Linked DNA regions of Arabidopsis thaliana. The protein of the gene in region 1 interacts with the protein of each later gene in a pairwise test. Each region holds a gene or a part of one and is shown in the gene's direction. Other genes may lie near its edges.

Region 1 (4,928 bases):
CAAACCCAACCAGAACTAATGGGTTCGTCAATGATGATTGAAATAGAGCACCGAGCCTAAACACTTACATTTTTATATGTGAATCTTCAATGAATATTTTTTGTAACAACACGCATTATGATTTAAATCCGGATAGGAATACAATAACGATATTAGGACAAACTACTATCTCTTCATATCTTTATCCACAATGGATTTCTTGTCATATTCAAGAAATGAAACAAATAACTACATATGAGATAATAATATCTATATGGGACTTTGACGTTAACATAAAAAAATCTAATTTTCACTACAAATTCATAGTCATTTTCTCAGAGTTCCAAGATAACTCTCATATATTAAAGATCATGTCCACTATAATCGTGTATGTTAAATGGTAACCGATTGTTCTCTATTGATTTAGATTCATCTTAGCTATAATCATTTATTCATTTATCATAAACAATATGATCATTTAAAATTATTAAGAAATCAATAAGAAATAACAAAATAAAATGTAATAAAAATTATTCTATAAAAAAGTCAGCTAGTAAATTTATAACCAAAAAATAAAAAAGAAAATTAATGGGAAGAGTGTGGGGGACACGAGAGTTTCACGTGACGTAAATAAGTCAATTGGTAATTAATAGGGTGACTCTCTCTGACAGGAAGTTAATACAACACGGAAACTCTTTTCTCCAAGTTCTCTCTAATTATAGTTTTTCCAAATTTTTACAATTCCAACCCCTTTCTCTCTAATCTCTCTTCCAAACCTCTGCATCGCTTTCAAATCCAAATACATTTTGACTCTTTTCACCACTCTCGTTTCCACGTTCTTCCTTTTCACCAGAGGAAGAATGTCGATGACAGAGCCGGTGTGGAAGATCAATCCATAGCCATTTTAATACTCTGTTTTATTTCTTCCATTAATTGTATCTAGGGTTTTGGTTTTTGGATGATTACATCTTTGTATAGGATTAAATGGGGAATTGCTTTGAATCTTGTTCGAAGAGAAATGATAATGAGGACGATAATCTTGACTCCTCAGTGAACTCGAAACCCTTTTCACGTAAGCTCTTCTCATTCTTTGATATTCATATCTCTCTGTTTCTGGAAGAGTCTAACTAAATTCTTACTGGAATTGTTGAACATAACTTGTCCTTTTGCACATTTTCCTGGACCCTCTGAATGTTAATGCATTGATGGATGAATCTTTTATGTAGTCTGGTTATTCGATTGCCCTGTTCTTAACTTTAGTGACTTTGTTGTTGATAGTTCTGTTTATCCATTTAATTCTCATTTTGATGTAAGAATGTGTGGCTCTGTTTCTTATCCAGGAGCTAATAGTGATACTGGAAGAAGCTCGAATCTGTCATATCCATGGAGTTTAAAACCTCTCATTACAAGAAAATGTGAAGCTATCAGTGCTCTACCTCCACCGCACAAAGAAGGAGACATAATGCATTCTCAATATTTGAAGTCCTTTACCTTAGATGAGCTAAAGAATGCTACAGGAAACTTCTGTCCAGAGAGTCTAATTGGAGAAGGAGGGTTCGGGTTTGTTCACAAAGGCTGTATTAATGGTGGACCTGGAATCGAACTCGCGGTTGCTGTAAAGAAGCTTAAAACCGAAGGGCTTCAGGGACATAAGGAGTGGCTGGTAAGCTTCTTTTCAAATCATTTTATTATGATTTCACCTTGAGACTGTACTCTATTGAAATCTCTACTACTTGTATATGGTTTTCTCCAAAGAGGGAAGTGAATTATCTTGGAAGATTGCATCATCCGAATCTAGTGAAACTGATTGGTTACTCCTTGGAAAACGAACACCGCCTTTTGGTTTACGAGCATTTGCCTAATGGTAGTCTTGAGAATCATTTGTTTGAAAGTAAGTAAAGAAACTCTTTCTTAAATCTAAAACTTTTTGAGTTTTTTCCTTCAATGATCTGGATTCTGCTTATTCTAGGGAGTTCCAGTGTGCTTTCTTGGTCACTGCGTATGAAAGTCGCGATTGGTGCTGCTCGAGGGCTATGTTTTTTGCATGAAGCTAATGACCAAGTCATTTACAGAGACTTCAAAGCAGCAAATATCCTTCTCGATTCAGGATTCAACGCCAAACTCTCAGACTTTGGATTGGCCAAAGAAGGTCCAAAAGATAACCGTTCACATGTGACAACAGAAGTCATGGGTACAGAAGGTTACGCAGCTCCAGAGTATCTAGCAACAGGTTTCTCTTTATTTATTTATTTGCTCATTTGATTCCATTTCAATAAAGAACATAACATGAAAATTTCTAAAAGCATTGCCTTTTTTTGTTCTCTGTCAGGTCATCTAACAACGAAATGTGATGTCTACAGCTTCGGTGTAGTGTTGCTAGAGATTCTCTCTGGGCGTCGAGTCATAGACAAATCCAAATCACGGGAAGAAGAAAACCTAGTGGATTGGGCAACACCTTACTTGCGAGACAAGCGAAAAGTGTTTAGGATAATGGACACAAAGCTTGTGGGTCAATACCCTCAGAAAGCAGCGTTTATGATGTCTTTCTTGGCTTTACAATGTATCGGAGATGTTAAGGTTAGACCATCGATGCTTGAGGTCGTATCTCTTCTTGAGAAAGTTCCAATTCCAAGACATAGAAAGAGTAGAAGCAAAGGTTTTGCTTGTACTAACTCTGCTTCTATGCCTTCAAAACGGTTTCTCAGACATCCTAAGGACTAAAAAAATCTTTGGCTTTTTGGATCGTTCTTTTGTGGAAATGGAATATAAAACTTTTTTGTTACTTCATTAATAACTTATGATTAATTATGAGAAATGGAAATTAAAGATATATGGCCATGATCTACAATAATGTTTTAACCATACGTTTCATTTTGTTATCTTAATCATTCAGTTAGTGGTTATTAAACAATACATAATCATGATCATTGTGATGTGTATGTATGCGTATATATAAGAACATGTACATTGAGTAGTACTACACTATTTACTCGAAATGATTGCATGTCATATATGCATGGAGAGACGAAAAGAGGAGTCTAATCCAAATCTAAACGCCCCTATAAATTACCCACTAATTAACATTAATCATATCTTCTCGTAACTCCAAATTTAACACGACAATCAATTAGCCGTCAATACTCAATACCCCACTTCTCCTAATAGATTCATCATCACTTCCATTCTTTATTCTCTCTCCATATCTTACTACCACTAGTCTCTTCTCTGAATGTAGTATATAAATCTTTTCTCGCATCATCGAGTTTCACAACACAACTTCTATCTCTCTCACTTTCTTTACAATGGCTGATCACACAACCAAAGAACAGAAGTCATTCTCATTCCTAGCTCATTCTCCATCCTTTGATCACAGGTTAATTTCAGAAGCTTTTGTATAGTTTCATTTTGTTATTAGTTTTTGTTTTCTTATAATTTATTTTCTCTGTATTTTTCCAAACGCAATGCAGCTCCTTAAGTTATCCTTTATTCGACTGGGAAGAAGATCTTCTTGCTCTCCAAGAAAACTCTGGCTCTCAAGCATTTCCTTTTACTACAACTTCTCTGCCTTTACCTGATCTTGAACCCTTGTCTGAAGGTATAACATATTATTACATAGTTTTTATATTCATATAGAGCTATATACATAGAGGTCTCATGGTCTTGTTTGTTCTGTAGATGTACTCAATTCATACAGCTCTGCGTCATGGAACGAAACAGAGCAAAACAGAGGAGATGGCGCTTCATCGGAGAAGAAGAGGGAAAATGGAACAGTGAAAGAGACAACTAAGAAGAGGAAAATCAATGAGAGACACAGAGAACATAGCGTGAGAATCATCAGCGATATTACTACCTACACAACTAGTTCAGCTCCAACGACATTGTCAAAGGAAACTGTCTCTCGCTACTTCTACATGCCCATAACTCAGGCTGCAATAGCACTTAACGTTGGTTTAACTCTACTAAAAAGGAGATGTCGCGAATTGGGTATTCGCCGATGGCCTCATCGTAAACTTATGAGCTTAAACACTTTGATCAGTAACGTCAAGGTATGTAGAACAAGGCACTACACTTAATATTATTGTTTTCAGATAATTGAACTCAAATGTTTTATCATATGAATAGGAGCTGCAGAAGATGGAAGGCGAAGAGAATGCAGAAAAACTGCAGGACGCGTTGGAGATGCTTGAGAAGGAGAAGAGGACAATTGAGGATTTGCCGGATTTGGAGTTTAAGGACAAGACAAAGAGGCTAAGACAAGCTTGTTTCAAGGCTAACCACAAGAGGAAGAAGAAGAGAAGTCTCAAGTCCGATCAGTCTCAAGTACCCTCGTGTTCAAGCAGCGGATCAGTTCCTAGTGATGAGTCGGTTGATGAAGCAGGAATGGAGAGTGATGAAGAAATGAAGTATCTCTTGTGTGGTTTCTCAAGTGAATTTACTAGTGGTTTGTGAAATCTGTTTTTAGTGAGAAATTGGGGATTGTAAAGCCAAATGCTTTTTGACTAATTCAATGAACAGAAAACATAAATATGATACTGAATACATTGAAGAGTAACAACATTAGTGTAGATAGATTACTAACAGACAAAAAAAGAGAGATAGAGATGAAGAAAGGAGATAGACCTCATTATTTGTTTCTTAAACACTAAGCTTCTCAATCTCTCTCCTTAGAGCATTAGCCCTAACCAAACTTCCAATGGTGTTCACAGCCAACTTGATATCCTCCAAAGGACTACCCGGCGCAACCCGCTTGTACAGATAGCTATCGAATGTCATCTTCTGAACATACTCATCATTACACATCTCCACAAACGCTTCTCTAGCCGGATTTGATCTGTAAAACACTTTCTGCAACACATCAAGTACCCTGTAGGTAGGCAAGTATGTCTTATCCCATTTCTCCAAGTACTTCCTCAAGTCCCCTTCGTCAATCATCTTCTTACCTATAGCAA
Region 2 (5,534 bases), on another chromosome or scaffold:
TATGTAACCCCAACACAGGAAGGTATACGATCTTACCTAAGTGCTATACTTATAGAAAGGCGTTTAGCTTTTTCGGGTTTGACCCAATTGACAAGCAGTACAAGGCATTGTCCATGATCTATCCATCTGGTCCTGGTCACAGTAAAATTCTTACTTTTGGAGATGGGGATATGAATTGGAAAAAGATAAAATATCGTGTACTACATGATATTTACAGTCAAGGGATATGCATCAATGGTGTTTTGTATTACTTAGGTGACACGTCAGATTGGGATAATGATCATGATGTAACGTCTGGTAATGTGTTAGTTTGCTTTGATTTAAGATCCGAAAGTTTCACCTTTATTGGCTTAGAATGTGGTCAATTGATAAACTATAAGGGCAAATTAGCTGTAATTTTTTGGGATGATGTGGATGATGATGATGTGAAAGATGATGCCATTGATGAGATGCATGTGTGGGTTCTAGAGGATGTCGAGAAAAAGGAATGGTCGAAATATGCCTACACTTGGACCGAGGATAAATTATACCGTTCTCAGGTTTCCGTGGTTGGAATGACTGCTTCGGGTGAAATAGTGTTTTCGATGCGCAAGTATACATCTGAACAACCGTTTTATGTTTACTACTTCAATCCCGAAAGGAACAATCTCCGACGTGTTGAAATCCAAGGTTTTGAAGCGTTTACTAAATTTGGTACAGTTTACACCTTTGTAGATCACGTAGAGGATCTTAATGTTTACAATTTAAAACATTTCAAGTCAGTCCATCCTCCATCGGTGCAGCCAGAATATGATGAATCAGATTCAGAATCAGAAGAAGATAGAGAGATTATCATTTAGGTGAAAGCAATGAGCATTTCATTTTGTTCTCTTAACTAGGCTTTTTTTATTTTACTTTTAAATCAACCTTATCTATCTCTCTTTAACGAAATTTATACTTAAGAACAAGGTTTTGCAGTTTCTCTTAGTTCTGTCTTAATCTGAGTATATTTGCTTAAATTATCAATATTGTTCTTCTGTATGAGATCTGTCCTCTGTTCTTTTTCAATATCTTTCAGTGTTTGTCGTTTGTGTGTGATGGAAATGATTTCATGATGACGTTTTGGAGTCAAATACTTAATGGGATATGTAACAATATTCACTGTTTTTTTCACTATAATTGAAGAAAAAGTTCCTTAATGTTCTTTTATTTAGTCTAAGTCGTCTTCATGTTCTTAAACTATACAACTTCTTGTTAGCTTTGTTTTTAAAGTTTGAAACTTTTGGTTCTCTGTAACAATGGGTCTTGTAAGCTGTCTTTGAAAGATGGAACATTCTCGTCAAAGGTTGTAAAGCGTTTAAGAAACCTTGTAGAGGATCTTAATGTTTAACGGTTTAAAACAACTCAAGCCAGTCCATCCTCCATCCTCCTTGGACGTTGTTCAGTACTCTGTTGTTTTGATTTTCTGCGCCAATTAATGTTTTGGACTCTCTCAACAACTTATGCAACGAGACTAGTACTAAGACTGAGAACCAAAGTTTTGCTCTGACTAGAAAAATGCTCATCTCTCAGTTGAATCATGCAAATTTTATACTTTGGTCCACAAATATTGTCCCACCTGATTTTGTTTCTGAGCTAATTATTGACTAGTATTATAATCTATTTAAGATTTTAAAATTATATATTAGATAAATAGAATACATCTTCTGAACATTTTATTTTTAATTGGATAATAAGTTAATAACAACTCCTCCCTCGTCTTAATTGGACAATACCAACATTGTATTTATACATTAAAGAAACACATATAAGAGTTATGTGTGACAAAAAGTACATGACCTCACATTGTACTTATTTCTCAGTTCTAACTTTAACCACTTTGACTGAATCTTTTCCTTTGAAATTTGGTAGAGATTTCAACAGGTTTGGTCCTTACAAAAGAGAGAGGGAGAGAGATATAGGAAGAGAGTGTGAAAGAGAGACGAGAGCAAAAGCTTTGTGGGTGAGCTTGAATTAGAGAGATGGCTACGAACGCTGGTTATCTTCGGTGCAAAGAAGAGCGCAAGAATGAAAGCTTCTTCAAGGTTGTTCAGAGTATAAATGTTTCTTCAGAAAACAAGGTAACAACCTTCTAAACTCTTCTCCTTGTTAAATTTGTTGGCTTAGTTTGGAAAGATTGAAACTTTCGGTTCTTTGTAACAGGGGTTTGTCTTAAACTTTGACACTTGTTATTTTAGTTTGGAAAGGTTGAAACTTTTCGTAAATTGTCTTTATGGGTATCAGGAAAAAAAACTCACAGATCTTCTCTATGTAACGAACTTTCTTCATTCTACACTCGTATTTTTCTGTCTGAATGTGAGGATTCATGCTTTATTTTGCATCTTTGTTTCTTCTAGATGAGATCTGTCCTCTGTTATTTTTCATTGTCTTTCTCCTGTTTTAGTTGCTTCACTTAGTTCTCTGTCTGAATGTGAGCATTCATGCATTATTTTGCATCTTTGTTTCCTTTAGATGAGATCTGCCCTCTGTTATTTTTCATTGTCTTGTTTGGTTTGTCATTTGCGTGTGATGGGACTAATTAAACTTTGGGCTCACATATGGAAGAATGGAAAAGAATGTTATGCCAAAACATTTTGTTGTGTTTGTCACACTATATTTGTTACATGGTGAGATTTGAAACTTTGTACTTAAGACTTGATGGGATGTGTAAGAACGTTCACTTCGTTAGTTTAGTTTGGAAATGTTGAAACTTTTGGTCCTTTGTAACGTTGAATCTTGTTAGCTGTTTGTTTAAAGGTTGACTCTTTTCGTCAATTCTCTTTATCTGATATCAAGAACATTGTTTTGCTGCTTCTCTCATTACTCAGTTTAGATGTGAGGAGTCGTCATGAATTATTTTTCACCTCTGTTTCTTCTGAATGAGATTTGTCCTCTGTTAATTTGAAACTGTGGACCAAATACTTGTTGATTCCCTGTAGTTGAAGAAACGTTCTTTAGATCAACCATTCTTGCTTTATTGAAATTTTAGTCTTCTTATATCGTCTCTTCATTTTATTTGCATAATGAAAGAGAGCACTTCCACATGACTTTTCGAGAAGCTTCACCGACAAAGAGCTCTCACGTAAGATGAAGATAAGAGCGCAATGGGGAAACTCTTGGGAAGTAGGAATCTCTAAAAACCCTAGATTTTACTTCATGGAGAAGTCTGGCTGGGAGAAGTTTGTGAGGGACAATGCTTTGGGAAACAGTGAGTTACTTACCTTCACTCACAAAGGGAAAATGCACTTTACCGTGAACATCTTTAAGCTAGACGGGAAAGAGATGATGCAACCTCCACAATCCAGATCCTTCTTTGCTTCTTCAAGTAAGTAAGATTTGTTTTTCTGATTATGAAACAGTGAAACTGGATAAAGTCATTGAGTCTTTAGTTTTTGTTGATGCAACAGGTCGTATCAAAACAGAACAAGAGGAAAATGACATTAAGGAAGAGGTAGTGGTATCTTCTAACCGTGGCCAGACAACTGCAGCTGAATCTAAAGGAAGAAAGCTCAACCTTGGGAAGAGGGCAGCTAAGGAATCCCAAAGTTCTAAAAGGACCGAGAAAGTGGTTAGAGCCCGAAGTGATTACGCTGGTGCCTCTTCATCTACTGCTGCAGCATTCACCATCTTGTTCAAGCAAGGATATCTCGTATTCCTGGTAAGATAACACAAACCAAGACACTCTAAACAAAATCTCTGTATTGAGCTAAAAATTGGTATGTGAATGAATCTTTTGTTTGAGTGTTTAGAGGATCCCGAATTCTGTATCGAAGGATCAAGTGCCGGATGAGAAAACAGTATTCAAGATCCATCACCCAAATGGGAAGAAATCATGGAATGTGGTTTATCTGGAGAGGTTTGGAGCTTTCTCTGGTGGATGGCGTCGTGTGGTTAAAGAGTATCCCCTTGCTGTTGGTGATACCTGCAAATTCACATTCATCAAACCAAAGGAGCTACTTCTAGTTGTCTCCAAACCCTAATGAGGATGGATGTGAGGGTGTCTTGGAGAAGAAGTTACTACGTAAAAGAACTTTATTGTCTTAAGTTTTATGTAATGACTTTAGTTTGGTTTTTGCATATGAACTTTGCTTCTTGTTTATCGGATGTAGCTCTGTAGCTTAATATTTTGAGACCAATTTATCAAAATCGTTATATGTATGAATTGAATGACCCTAGAATCAAATTATCAACTCAATGGTAACCTTTTATTGTCAATTTGGCTGGTCATGCATATCTGGAAAACTTCAGTTTGAATCTTTATTTCTTGGCCTCTAAAATTAAGTATGGATTCTGAAGAAACGAAGACACAATCCACGTCTGAGAAGGATGACCTAAACCGATAAGCCAACAACAACAATTGATGTTCTGTTCGTTCTGTTGCAATGTGCGTGACCTGTTTGAACATCATCTTAATTAGTCTACCACGTCCATTTTTATCTCCTTGGTATGAATATCCTGAAGAAGACAAGCTTGGAGGCCCACTTAGACGTTAAATCAGCCCATTTTTGTGTTTCTTAACCGACTAAAATCGGATAAATAAATTCACGAAAGCTAGGTCTCTTTAGTAGTATATAAGCTAGGTTTCTCTAGGTCTTACATTAATATGTAAATTTTAACAAATCTCCTTCTTCGTTCGATCTGAAATCATGAATTCATATTCCTTAACGAATGATCTCATCATGGAGATATTGTCGAGATTGCCAGCAGAGTCGGTCGTGAGGTTTTGTTGCGTGTCAAAGCGATGGGCATCAATGTTTGGTACTCCATATTTCAAGGAGTTGTGCCGGACCAGGTCCACGGCTAATCCGCGCCTCTTATTCTCAGTCTGATTCTGAATCTGAATCTGATTGATGATATTCTGCGTGTAAATTGTATTGCTTCAACTTCGGAAGGAACACTCTCTAACGTGTTGAAATACAAGGTTTTGGTGAAGCAGTTACGAAACCTTGTAGCGTTTGCACCTTTGTAAACCACGGGGAGAATCATAATGTTAACGATTTAGAACAGCTCAAGTCAGTCCATCCTCCATTGGTGGAGCCAGAATATCATCAATCAGATTCAGATTCAGAATCAGACTGAGAAGGGACAAGGAGAGAAGAAGGATAGAGACGATCATTGGAGTCAGGTGAAAGCAAAGGGCATGTCATTTTGTTCTCTTACCTATGCGTTTCTTTTTTTATCTCTTGAACGAGCTTTATACATGTATCTTTCATTTTGTTTGGTCTCAAGAACAAGGTTTTGCAGTTTCTTTTAGTTCTCTGTCTTAATCTTGATTATTTATGCTTAACATTTTCAACATTGTTTCTTCTGGATGAGAATGGTCCTTTGTTCTTTTTCAACATCTTGTACTGTTTGTCATTTGTGTGTGATGGGACTAATTTATTTCATGATGACACTTTGGACTCAAATACTTAATGGGATTTGTATTTGTAAAAATGTTCACTGATTTTTCACTGTAATTGAAGGAAACATTCCTTCAGTTCTATCATTTTTTGAAAGGTTGAAACTTTTGGTTC

What was found. The genes of interacting proteins can lie anywhere in the genome.
Region 2: the proteins of RKD2 (region 1) and AT2G16210 interact in a two-hybrid assay, tested with the Arabidopsis thaliana proteins (one large-scale study listed by BioGRID).

Annotation. Positions count from the first base shown.
Region 1 is NC_003070.9:27,992,532-27,997,459, reverse strand, and holds RKD2 (RWP-RK domain-containing protein), read left to right. Parts: upstream 1-3,281; coding exon 3,282-3,352; intron 3,353-3,446; coding exon 3,447-3,574; intron 3,575-3,654; coding exon 3,655-4,025; exon of another isoform or gene 4,026-4,101; coding exon 4,102-4,428; downstream 4,429-4,928. Other genes in the region: AT1G74490 (Protein kinase superfamily protein), read left to right, coding at 964-1,051, 1,320-1,642, 1,735-1,870, 1,949-2,209, 2,309-2,700; AT1G74470 (Pyridine nucleotide-disulfide oxidoreductase family protein), read right to left, coding at 4,615-4,919. UniProt on the Arabidopsis thaliana protein: Putative transcription factor.
Region 2 is NC_003071.7:7,025,460-7,030,993, reverse strand, and holds AT2G16210 (Transcriptional factor B3 family protein), read left to right. Parts: upstream 1-1,818; 5' UTR 1,819-2,000; coding exon 2,001-2,099; intron 2,100-3,048; coding exon 3,049-3,343; intron 3,344-3,425; coding exon 3,426-3,676; coding exon of another isoform or gene 3,677-3,685; exon of another isoform or gene 3,686-3,767; coding exon 3,768-3,998; 3' UTR 3,999-4,233; downstream 4,234-5,534. Other genes in the region: AT2G16220 (F-box and associated interaction domains-containing protein), read left to right, coding at 1-839.